Rattus norvegicus: one gene and its partners. Each later gene encodes a partner of the first gene's protein in a complex. Links are inferred from orthologs where the notes say so. Each region holds a gene or a part of one and is shown in the gene's direction. Other genes may lie near its edges.

What was found.
Region 2: the proteins of Itsn1 (region 1) and Ap2a2 are in contact, whole or in part, in a crystal structure (PDB 3HS8), measured with the Mus musculus proteins. The link is inferred for Rattus norvegicus from reciprocal best matches to the Homo sapiens genes ITSN1 and AP2A2. Residues at the interface, in NP_034717.2 of Mus musculus: Asn841, Trp843, Ala844, Phe846, Ser847, Ser848; in XP_006536218.1 of Mus musculus: Glu308, Gly320, Val321, Glu324, Gln329, Gly331, Leu332, Lys333, Phe346, Gly348, Asn349, Lys350, Gly386, Ala387, Gln388.
Region 3: the proteins of Itsn1 (region 1) and Fchsd2 are in contact, whole or in part, in a crystal structure (PDB 6GBU), measured with the Homo sapiens proteins. The link is inferred for Rattus norvegicus from reciprocal best matches to the Homo sapiens genes ITSN1 and FCHSD2. Residues at the interface, in NP_003015.2 of Homo sapiens: Pro1076, Ile1078, Gly1098, Leu1100, Leu1102, Gln1117, Ala1118, Arg1119, Gly1120, Lys1121, Lys1122, Arg1123, Leu1136, Ser1137, Pro1138; in NP_055639.2 of Homo sapiens: Tyr576, Gln581, Thr582, Asp584, Glu585, Gln602, Asp603, Asp604, Asp605, Gly606, Phe607, Val618, Pro620, Val622, Leu623.

What each region holds. Positions count from the first base shown.
Region 1 is NC_086029.1:44,463,244-44,467,439, forward strand, and holds the start of Itsn1 (intersectin-1), read left to right. Parts: upstream 1-1,303; 5' UTR 1,304-1,536; intron 1,537-2,190; exon of another isoform or gene 2,191-2,448; intron 2,449-4,196. UniProt on the Homo sapiens protein: Adapter protein that provides a link between the endocytic membrane traffic and the actin assembly machinery. Acts as a guanine nucleotide exchange factor (GEF) for CDC42, and thereby stimulates actin nucleation mediated by WASL and the ARP2/3 complex.
Region 2 is NC_086019.1:206,137,333-206,140,977, forward strand, and holds part of Ap2a2 (AP-2 complex subunit alpha-2), read left to right. Parts: intron 1-849; coding exon 850-987; intron 988-3,645. UniProt on the Homo sapiens protein: Component of the adaptor protein complex 2 (AP-2). Adaptor protein complexes function in protein transport via transport vesicles in different membrane traffic pathways.
Region 3 is NC_086019.1:165,052,244-165,055,888, forward strand, and holds part of Fchsd2 (F-BAR and double SH3 domains protein 2), read left to right. Parts: intron 1-595; coding exon 596-712; intron 713-2,846; coding exon 2,847-2,951; intron 2,952-3,645. UniProt on the Homo sapiens protein: Adapter protein that plays a role in endocytosis via clathrin-coated pits. Contributes to the internalization of cell surface receptors, such as integrin ITGB1 and transferrin receptor.

The sequences.
Region 1 (4,196 bases):
TCTGAGCCTCCTCATGACCCTGGGATAATTCTTTAGTATGGCTCAAGTATGGACTACTGGATGAAGCAGGCAATTCCTGACCCAAGGCCCCATTACTGTGAACACCCGTCCTTGCTTGCTTTAGGAAACCGCTTATTGGAAATGCCAAGAAAAGGGTAAGAAGGGTGACAAGGGAAGTAGTAACGGAGACAGCATCAGAAACAGTGGTAGGGAGAAGCTGGGGTGGGGAGGACTCAACTGAGAGAAAGGCAATTCTAGACCTTTGTCTACATAAACGCGGAGGATGAAGCAAAGACCCACAATCCAAACCTAGCCAGTGTCAGGAACTGTCCGTCAAATCTAGTATTACCCGCCCCTCAGCGGCCTCAGCCAAGCTAGGCCAGAGCAGGAGCAGCTCTGAGGTCGGCGTGTGATGCGAAGCACCAATCTCCCCAAGGTTAGACAACTCCTTCAGACGTTTCTCCATCTTTTGCCCAAAGTCCCATTTCACGAGACACATATCGTTCTTCCCTGGCTCACCTGGCTTGGAGCAACCTCAACCGCCAGCGCCTTCGCCGCCGCCACCTTCCCAGTCCTTCTGCAGAGAGCCCGCCTTCGTAGGTCCAAACAGTACTGCCATTGGTCGGACTGCCCGTCACTACCGCAGGATGACCGATCTGGGGGAGGCTGTGACGAGCGCCATAGCAACCGAACCCGGAACTACAATTCCCAGCATGCTCCTCCCTGTAGAGAGGCGAGTCATCCCAGGGACCACCAATACTTGGGAGAAGTTGGGCGTTGCCGAGATGGGTTCCGTTTTATGCAAATTAGAGTAAAAGGCCACACCCTTCCTCATTCCAACCGTACTCCCTACCATCTTTCTTCAGTCTTTGTCTCTGTCGCCTCTCGTTCCCACGTTCTTTCTGCAAAACCTTCAATTTAGTTAAATGTATGCTAGCTACTGTCGCGCATAGAAAAGAGCAAAGCGCCAAATCATGAAACAAAAATCTCCGTACGCATAGACCAGAAACCTCTAGTTATGCCTTCATGGGACGAGACAAGGACTGGGAGGAAAAAGGGTGCTTCCCGAACCACTTAATTGGTTTATCTCGCTGCCACTCTGTACACCTCCAATTCCTGTGGCTAGTCCTTTTTTCCCCAGTGGGCGGAGTCATGCGAACGAATGAGAAGGCGTGGTCTCGGCCGTCCGATTGGCAGGCGGTTATTCCCGCCCATCTATGGGTGGAGCGGAGGGCTGGCTGTGGGCGGAGGGGCGGCGGCGGAGGGAGATGAGGAGATAGGCGGGAGCGAGGGAGCGAAGGAGCGGAGGGCGAGAGGAGTGGAGCGGCACAGGGAGGGCGCGCAGCTTGGTTGCTCCGTAGTACGGAGGCTCGCGAGGGAGCATCCCGAGCGGGCTCCGGGACGGCCGAGAGGCAGGCGGGCGAGCGGGCGGGCGGGGATGGTGTGCGCGGCTGCGGACCCTGCGTTCCTCCGCGCGGCGTGCGGGCTGCACTGATTTGTGTGAGGGGCGGCCGCGCGCACCCGCCCGGAGATGAGGTGAGGAGCTGACGCGGGCGGCCTGGCGCGCGGGCGGGGGTCGGCGATGGCCGCCCGGGGTCGGGTCCAGCGGCCGGGCGCGCGTCCCCGCGGCCGCCGTCGCCGCTCTGCCTGGTCTTTCTCATCCTCCCGGGGGCGGCGGGGCGGGCGGGCCGCGGCGGTGGCGGCCGCGGGACGGGCTCCGGTGAATGGGCGTCCGCAGCCACTGCCGGCGCTCCCGAGGGGGCATCGCGGCGGGCGGTCCCTTCCACCGCTGACCCCTCTGCCCTCGGCCGCCGGAGGGTGGGGGGCCGGCCCGGCCTCCCGGGGATCCCGAGCTCGCGGGAGACGCATCGCGCCGCCCGCGGGTGCCCCCGGCCTCGAGTCCCCGGCTCATCCTTTTTCTCCGGCGCCTCCTTGGAATACCCTGTCAAGTGAAGGGCGGTCAATGCCGTTCGGGCCGAAGTGGTGCGGCCGGGGCTGGCTCTGATGGCATTTAACAGAAAGCGGCTCCCCTTGCAGCGGGCGCGCGTCCCCTGGTCGGCCGCTTCGCCCTCCGTGCGCACGCACTGACTTGGGTGTCTGCTATGGACCCAGGGCACAGTTGCGGTCCCTCTTGGGGGCGGGGGCGGGGGGGGGGGACCAGGAAATGCAATCCGGATTCCCAGAAAAAAGAAAAGAAAAGCAAGGATGAGCTGGCTGGACCTCCCTTCACTTCTGTTTCCCTTTGGTTTGGAGGACAACTTCGCTGATCCTCTTGCCTATGAGCAATCTATTGTTGTGAATCAGACTACAGACATTGCTTTTGAAGGAATAGATTAGTGGCTTCTTGCTGCAGTTTGAGGGTGTAGAGGTATTCGGTAGCATCTTGAATGTGAAAGTTTGCGGCTTTGCCCTCACCGCTGCTATTCGGAAAACAACCAACCTGGAAATGTAAGTGCATGCAGACTCTGGCCAGATACGGTTCTTTTGTGCTTATCTGTTGGTATATTTCATTTGGTACTTCGTGGTCAGAAACATAGAGCATAAAGAAAGAGTCTGATAGCATAGATAGTGAAAGCATAGGAATACATGCCTGTGGAAAATATCAGTTCTATTTTCAGGGAGGCCGGTTTACTAATCCCGATGAATTGATGAAGAGAAAGGCTTGCTCATGGATTATGTGGTGGACAGGATGTGAGGGCAGGAGCTAGGGCCAGGAGCCCACAGGCCAGCTGCTTGGCAGGGCATTTCTTTAAATGCTCTTAACTGGAGGGATGTATCTGTTTGTTGGGATAAAACTTTTATTTTTAGAAGACGTTTACAGTGAAAAGTGCAGACAGTTCAACAACCATTATGGTTACCATTTTTGCTACTTAACTTTTTTTTAAAACTAGTTTGATTGAAATGTTTTGTATGTGTGTGTGAGTTTCCTTATGACCTAAGAACTTATAAGAAAGCAGCATCTCTCTGTAGGAGACATGTAAAGAAGTCAGGAAACTATAAAGGATTTAAATGAAGAAGTGAAGGACACTGATTTGGTGACAGGGCATAGATACTCCATACACTTCTATGTGTAAGGAGCCACAGTAAGGAGCCTTTTTGAGAGTACATGTTTAAAAAAGTGGTATTTATTTTTTAAAAAAGTGTCTGTTATTGAAATTGCTGAGGATCGCGGTACTGCCACAAAACTATTATTATTCTGCCTGAGTAAGAGAGGAACTGAGCACATTTCTAATGTACTTTGGAACCCTGTGAATTGTTCAGATGCTGAGCATTGTGAAATAGGGCATGAAATGAGTGGTGGCAAGTTAGTTCCCTGAAATGTTTGTCCCTCAGCATTTTCTGTCTTTCTTTTGCTGGTGACTAGCTGTTTCCTTTTCCTGTGGGCATTCTTTATCTTTCCCCAAATACCTAGATTGAGACACACCCTTAAAACACTTGGAAGAGATTAAAAGGGAGGCCCTAGTAAATTCCTCTGCCAGTGCCTTTTCTCTTTTGGTGTTTGAACCAGGACTTGGAGAGTGCTAAGTGTGTGGCCCTAGCACCTAGCTACAACCCCAGCCTCACACTGGTCTTTGTGTGTGGTGCTGTCGTTTGAACCTGGAGACTGTGAGGCTAGGCAGATGCTACAGTCTCCTCCTTTTAATTTGCTAAACTTGTGACTACCGGCTGGGTTTATGTCAGACTTCTCTTGAGTGACTCCCTCCTGAATGACTCCACTTGCTGGCTCCATCCGAGTCTGGCATTCAGATATCTTTACATCAGCTTAACAGGTCTCTGCCTCTCCACCTCAGAGTCAGACAGTGGGAAGTATATTTTCAGTACCGTTTCCAGGAAATTCTCCAGGCCGGCAGATTCAGAGAACCTTGGCGGCGTGCTTCTTTCTTACTGAGTGTCTCCAAAGTGGATGATAGCAAGCTTGTCAAGTGGCAGGAGTTTTACATGTTGTGATAAATGTTTCAGAAGAGCAGAGTTGACTGTGGTCTTCCTAGAGACTGAACCAGTGCCCCTTGGATAGTTGCAGAATGAATGGGTGAACCACTTTGCAGCGATCCTGGTGTTTTAAGTCTTCACCTGCCAAGTTAGTCACATCACCAAGTAGTCATAAGCGCTGTGTCCTAGTTGGTTCCTCTAAGCTTGACCAGTCTTGAATGTACAGTCTTGCTGGATGGCATGCTGGAAGGAGGTCTAGCAAATGT
Region 2 (3,645 bases), on another chromosome or scaffold:
GTGTTCCTCTGGTATGGCACACACTGCCCACTGTGCCTGCCTGTTAGCTTACATGTTACACGTTAGTTCATTAGTGAACCATACTTGTAAGACCCTTCATTTGGTGAGTTTTAGGCTGTAGTGAAGCAGGTCTGGCCCTGGTCTGTATTTTTGTGTAAATCAACAGGCATTTTGGTGTCTTTCTTGAAGGAGGCTGTGTTCTTCCTAGTCCTGGTTGGGTGTCTGCTCCAGTTGCTCTCTTCCATCACAACTCTTATCCTAAACCTCTCATCTTAAGCACACCTATGTCAGGTGCCCTCTGTCCTGCACTGGGGCCCTGCAGTGTTCACCACTGTAGGGGCTGCAGATAGCGGCTCCATGCTTCTCAAGCACTGTGTGTGGTGTCTCTCCTATGCCTCCTGGAGAGGGGCTCAAGAACCTGCCTTAGAACCAGCTCCCAGGCAACTCGGAAGGTGCTGGCCTGTGCCCACACAATGGAGGCCTTAGTGACCTGTTCATTAGGCCTGAGTGTGGTCCTCAGAAGAGCTGGTTAGGGAGGAGGGAGAGTGGACAAACAGAGCTAGAACTGGTTTGCTCTGATTGGACTAAAGCATGAGGGGACAGGACAATGTGTTGTGTGTGGGTTCCAAGTGGCCTAAGCTGTTGGGTCCCATATATAGATAGTGAGGGGGCCCAGTAAGGGGTCTGGGGATAGAGCAGCACCCTGCCTGATGGGGACAGTGCTGTGGGGTTCCCCAACACAGCTCCTATGGAACAAACAGATGCTAGACTCATGGACGCATATAGCAGTGGTTAGCCACTGTCCACCGACCTGTGCTTCGTAGGAGTCCTGACTGTCTTTTTTCTCAGACGGAACGAGATGTGAGTGTGCGGCAGCGGGCAGTGGACCTGCTCTACGCCATGTGCGACCGAAGCAACGCCCAGCAGATTGTGGCTGAGATGCTGAGCTACCTAGAAACAGCTGACTACTCCATCCGGGAGGAAATTGTGAGTCCTATAACCTGAGGGGCTGTTAAAGCTGCATTCTGGTGGGTGGTTGCTGGGTGGTTTTCAGTGCCTGGCAGGCTTGCATGAGTGTCTGTAGACACTAGATAAAAGATTCCGTGGCATCAGCTTTCTTGTCTAGCCTTCCAGTGTAGACATCTGGCAGTGCAGGGTGTGGCCATCTGTGCCAGGCAATGAGCTAATATTCATTCTCCAAGATACTCTTATATTTTGAACATGAAGATGCTGCTGGTTAGGTTTTCTTGGTGTCATCTGGCATATTAGAGGTTAATGTTTAAGCTGTCATCAGCACTGAGCAGTGTTGGTTTCGAGCGGACTCTGGTCAGTCTGAGTGTCATGCACACCTAACCATTGTTGTAGTCCAGCAAATTGCTTACATGAAACCACTGTGTCTTAGGGAGGAAGGAGGCAAGTGCATGACCACAGACGAGAGGCTCTGGCTTGCCTCACCTGGTATAACACTGGTCTCTCGATGGTGTCTCTGGACCTAGAGTGACAGGCAGTGTGGCACTGGCTGGATTGCTTCACAGGCCCTGCAGCAAGGGTCTGATGGGGAAGGGCTAAGGGCTAGGCGCACACATTGAGTTGTTTCATGACCATGTCTTGCTCCAGGAAAGGCCTGAGATAATTAGAGGTCAGGAAGGCTTCTTGGAGGTGGTAACTAGCTGAGCTATTGACTAGGGCTAGAAGGAGGGGCCACATGGGATTGAAAGCTGCTGCCTCACTCATAGCAGGTGCTGAGTGCGGGGCCCTGGCTACCTAACGAAATCCTGGAGTTTTTTGTTTTGTTGTTCTAGTCTATATTTGTGTGCAGTGTATGGCTTCTGGCATGTGTGTGGACTTATTTTTCCTCCTACATGGGTTCCGGGGACTAAGGTCATCAGACGAGGCAGCAAACATTGTCCCCTGCTGAACCATCTTGCTGTTCTCCTTGAGATGATTTTAAAAGATTACAGTTTTAGAGTTTCTGACTCAAGATTGTGCCTGTGTGGCCAGATACATTGCATGTGACAATAGCAGGGAACAAATGGTGAAGCAGACTGCTCACCCTGTGTCCAGGAGGCAGAGTCCAAGTGAGACCACAGTCCACAGCCCCCTTCAGGGTCTCCTTTCCAGTGACAGCAGGCTCTCCACTGATCCCCTCCTTCAAAGTCACCTCCACCTACTGCGCTGCTCTGGAATTCACGCTTCTAACACTTGGAACATTAGAAAAGTCAAGGTTTGGCTGAGGCAGGCAGTGTGGGCACAGGGGCATTGTGTGTGGGGAAGGGTTGGCCTTGTTTGAGATGTGGCTGGACATGTGGCTTGTAGCTTTGGCCAGGCTCACCCTCACTGGATTGCTCTTGGTGTTTTCAGCAGAGGTGGCAGTGGCATCTGTCAGTGCAGTGTGTTGGTTTGCCCTCTAACCCTTTTTCTTTTCTATTGAAATCAACTTTTTCCCCCACATGATAGAATTTGTTCATGTTTTCTCCCACTCCTGTTCCTCCCAGACCCTTCCCACCTCCCTACTTATCCAAGTATGTTTTGTTTTTTTCCACCTTTTTTATCTTTTATTTTTGAGTTTATAATTACATTTTTTCCTTTCCTCCTCAGCCTGCCCACATACCCCTCCCCATTCTTCAAATTAACCGCCTCTTTTTTTTATTAATTGCTAATGCATTTATATGTGTATATAGATCCATAACCTTTCTAAATAAATCCTGTTAAGTCCATATCATGTTGCTTGTATGTTTTCAGGGCTGCCCCTTCTGCACTGAACAGCAGATTGGTGTGCTCCTCCTGGGGAGGACTGCCTCTCCCACTCCCAGCTCCTCCTGGGGAGGACTGCCTCTCCCACTCCCAGCTCCTCCCGGGGAGGACTGCCTCTCCCACTCCCAGCTCCTCCCGGGGAGGACTGCCTCTCCCACTCCCAGCTCCTCCCGGGGAGGACTGCCTCTCCCACTCCCAGCTCCTCCTGGGGAGGACTGCCTCTCCCACTCCCAGCTCCTCCTGGGGAGGTTGCCTCCCCCATTTCCAGTTTTCCTCAGTTGCCTATAGTTCTTTGTGTAGGGTTGAGACCTTGCGGGCTTTTCTTGTCCTGTTTGTTATGTCTTTAGTGCCAGCCTTGTTCAGCTCACATTTGGGTGGTCTTGGTGAGATGTGATGGGGCAGCTTCTGACATTCCTGGGAGACAAACTCCGGATCCTCTGGCTCTCACCATCTTTTCTCTCCTGCAGTGCCCTCTTGAGTCAGCAGGACTGAAGCTTCTAGTTAGGTATCAGCTCGACTTCTCTGTGTTGGAGGAGATGTGTGGACGTTGTCTTCAGCAGTAGGGCCTTACCGTCAGTTGTAGAGAGCAACCAGTAGATATTTGGGGGCTTCCCTTTGGCCAACGGCTCAACAGGATGTAACCCATTTCTGGCACTTGATGGCACAGGATGTCTAGTTGGAGTACTGTCTCCTCTGTTACTTGGGGACTTCATTTAGATTCCTTTTATATGTTGTATTTTCACAAGTGTCTACAGTTATATTTCAGTATGCTTTCTCAAATGCCCTTTAGTGTTAGTTGTCCCTCCCCCTATTTCTTCCTGTACCCTTCCTTCCACCCCTGTCCTGTTTAATTAGCCCTACTTCATTGTCCTCTGTATCTCTTCAAACACT
Region 3 (3,645 bases), on another chromosome or scaffold:
CTGATTCTTGATGCAGATCAGAATGCCTGTCTCCACCCGGCCAGAGATATTCCATTCTTTTGACAAGGAAACTTTACAGTGGTTCTCAACCTATGTGTTGTGTCTACTCTCTGGGGGCTTGAATGATCTTTTCACAGGGGTTGCCTAAGACTATCAGAAAACAAATACTTACATTACGATTCATAACAGTAGCAAAAATCACAGTTATGAAGTAGCAGTGAAAATAATTTTATGGTTGGGGGTCACCACAACTTGAGGAATTGCATTAGGAAGGTTAAGAACTTCCTGATAAGTTCTTCACTGATAAAGAGTAGCAAAATTGATACCTTTCCAGCATTACCAAAGAAAAAGAAGGTGGGGCCCAAAGCTGACCATAAGGGATTGGTTCATCCTCAGTGGCCTCCAAGGCTACTAATCTCTGTGTAGCTATCTCATACTGATTTTCTGTGAAGTGAGGCCTTGCTTCCCACAGTAGTAGGACATGCCTTGCATTGTCAGTGCTGATTAAGGAAAGACCCTCTGGTCCAGCTACAGAGTGGAAAAAGTTACAGTGGAGATAACAGTCCTTCTCTTTCTGTTCTCTCTTGTGTTGTAGAGTCGACAATTAGAATCAGAAACTGGTACCACAGAAGAACACAGTCTAAATAAGGAGGCTCGAAAATGGGCCACTCGTGTGGCACGTGAGCACAAAAATATTGTTCATCAGCAGCGGGTAAGTATGATAGCACTCACTGGCTGTGTGCAGCTGAAGTCAGATTGCAGATAGGTTTCTTCCAACCCAATCTTCTTACTGTTTATTTGGGAGCTTCACCTAATGTACCCTGATCACATTCACTTCTCAGTCTTCTCAGGTCCACCTCCTCCAAAGAAAAGAAGAATGAAAAAAGAAAATACCAAGTCTAATTTGCATTACCCATATATTCAACAGAGAATAATCATACTCCTAGTGGTCAGCCGTCCACCCCCACCACACCAGAAGCCATCAACTGTGAAGAGCTGTACTTCAGCTCTTAAAAAGCTCTCAGTTTTTAACACTTCTCTTCAATGACTTCTTGTCTACACCGTTTCTTTTTGGAGGGTTGAAGGATGAAGGTGGGAGAGAGAGGTTGTCACAGAAGCCTTCTATGAGATTTCAAATAGAGTCAAAGAGTTGAATTTTATTTTTATTTGTGTTTGCATGTGCACCATGTGTGTGTGCCTGATATCACAGAAATACAGGTGGACAGTAGCACATGAAACTATGCTTTCTGTAAAGCCATAAAAATTCAATCATTTTCAAAATTTTGCATTAAAATGTAGAATATATATATTTGGCCATGTCTACTCATATTAAAATATAGAAGTCCAGCTTCCTAAGAGAACTCCTGCTTACTTGTGCAAGGCAGTTGACTTGATCACCAATACAGCAAACCAGTGAACAAGCAATATGTACAAGTATCTCTTTAGTAGCCGAGGGCTTTCCCACCCGCACATAAGTTCCCCAAAACAACAACTCTGAGACTTAATTGTATTTATAAATAAATGCTTAGACCGTAAGTTTTGGCCTGTTCTGCTACTAGCTCATAACTTAATTATTATTATTCTGAGTCCCGCCACGTGGCTGGTAACCTGGTCCTGTTTCATGCAACCACCTTCCTCTGTGTCCATCTCCCTGCCTGACTCAATCCCAGAATTCCTCTCTTTCTCTGCTCGATGTCTCACCTTCTAATCCTGCCTCAGTTCATTGGTCAATCAGCTTTTTACTGACAGATGAATGCTTTTACACAGTGCACAAGAGATTATCTCTGCACACATTTGTGTTTTCAAAGAGTCATTAGACAAGTTCTTTGTGTAGTGCCATTTGCTGTTTTAAAAGAAGTTTAAGGGGTTGGGGATTTAGCTCAGTGGTAGAGCGCTTGCCTAGCAAGCGCAAGGCCCTGGGTTCGGTCCCCAGCTCCGAAAAAAAGAAAAAAGAAAAAAAAAAAAGAATTTTAAAAGTCCCAGAAGCAGTAGTATAAGTGCAATGTTGTTGAACTGTTGGGTGTATGCTTTAAAAAGAATGAGATCTGTTTCGAAAATAGCCTACACTTCATAACATCCTGTTTAAAAAAAAAAAAAACAAAAAAACTCAACATCTATCCATTTTTAAAATTCAAGCTATCCATGTCACAATTATGTGATGAAAATAAGGAATATAGATTGTATTATCAATTTCTTGACTTTCTTTTTACTCTCCATCTCCTGTTAGCCTTAGGTCCAAAATATTACATGGAAAATGGATAAGCAAACAGTGAGTGTTTAAATGCCCACAATTCTGTAGCACAATGAAGTCCACCTGGAGTTGTGGACTACTTTACCCAGCGTGTCCTCACTGTCAACCTTACTGTCCTGTGGGTTTCGTCACTGCCATCTCTGTTATCAGATGAGCATCACAGCATCACAGAGCTAGTGTTCACGGAATCCCAACTTTCACTTAATTGTGGCCTTATCGTGCAAAACCAGAACTGGGGAGGCACCAGCTTATGAGCCATGGAAAGGCAGGTCAACCCTGGTGCCGTGTGCAGTACGGCAGGACACAAGAAACCACAGTAAACTTAAGGCTCTGTTCTGCTATGGTTCAGAGGATCCACTGGAGACCTTGAGCTGCACCTCCAGAGGAGGGTGCTGTTACCGCATGCTTTTATAAGTCGTTATCATCAGGGAAGGCTAAGACAAGGACTCTTCCTTGTTTTGCAACTCTCAATTTTTAAAAATTAATGAAATAAAAAATTTTAAAGTAATTATTGCTTTAGCCACTGAACCCTCTGGAATTATGTAAATACTCAAGGAAAGAACATGAAAACAAAAATCTTTATTTTCTTTGATAGGTTCTAAATGAACTAGAATGCCATGGAGTTGCTGTATCAGAACAGAGCCGAGCAGAGCTGGAACAGAAAATAGATGAAGCTAGAGAAAATATCCGTAAAGCTGAGGTAAGACAGCAGGACAGCCGTCAACTGTAGTGTGTCACTCAGTTCCAGGCACAGTGTTACAGTTGTGAAATGAGCCTTTGAAATGAGCTTCTACATGGGTATTAAACTGAAAACAATGAGCCATCTTCATGTCCACAGTCGTATTTCTGTGTACCTGTAGCACTTAGAACAAAAACTCTGAAACCACTGCAAAGATCCACAGTCGTGAAACATTAAAGAGCAAAAGCGAGGCCACAATGCTTACGTTGATTTTAAAGTTTTCACATAGCATTAAATAAGTCAATCAGCTTCCTGGTTGCTGCCGCCGCAGAGAGCTTGTGGGCAGCACCCCGAGAGCAAACTTGAGCCTTGGGACCACAGGTAAGACCAACTTTTCTGCTGCAAGTGACCTGCCTGGTGAACTCGGGACACACAGAGGCAGAATTCCTCTAGGACCGGGCACTCCCTGTGTTTACCGGGAGTCCCACACCTGCGGATCCCGGCCCGCAGCAGCTCTCTGCTCCCAGACCCCGTGGGAGAGAGACCTCACCGCCTGGTCAGGTGGGCACTCCTGAGGCTGCAGAGCGGAAGAGACCACCAACACTGCCCACCCCTGCCCACATCCCTGGCCCAAGAGGAAACTGTATAAGGCCTCTGGGTTCCCGTGGGGGAGGGCCCAGGAGCGGCAGGACCCCTGCGCCTGAGACACCGCCGG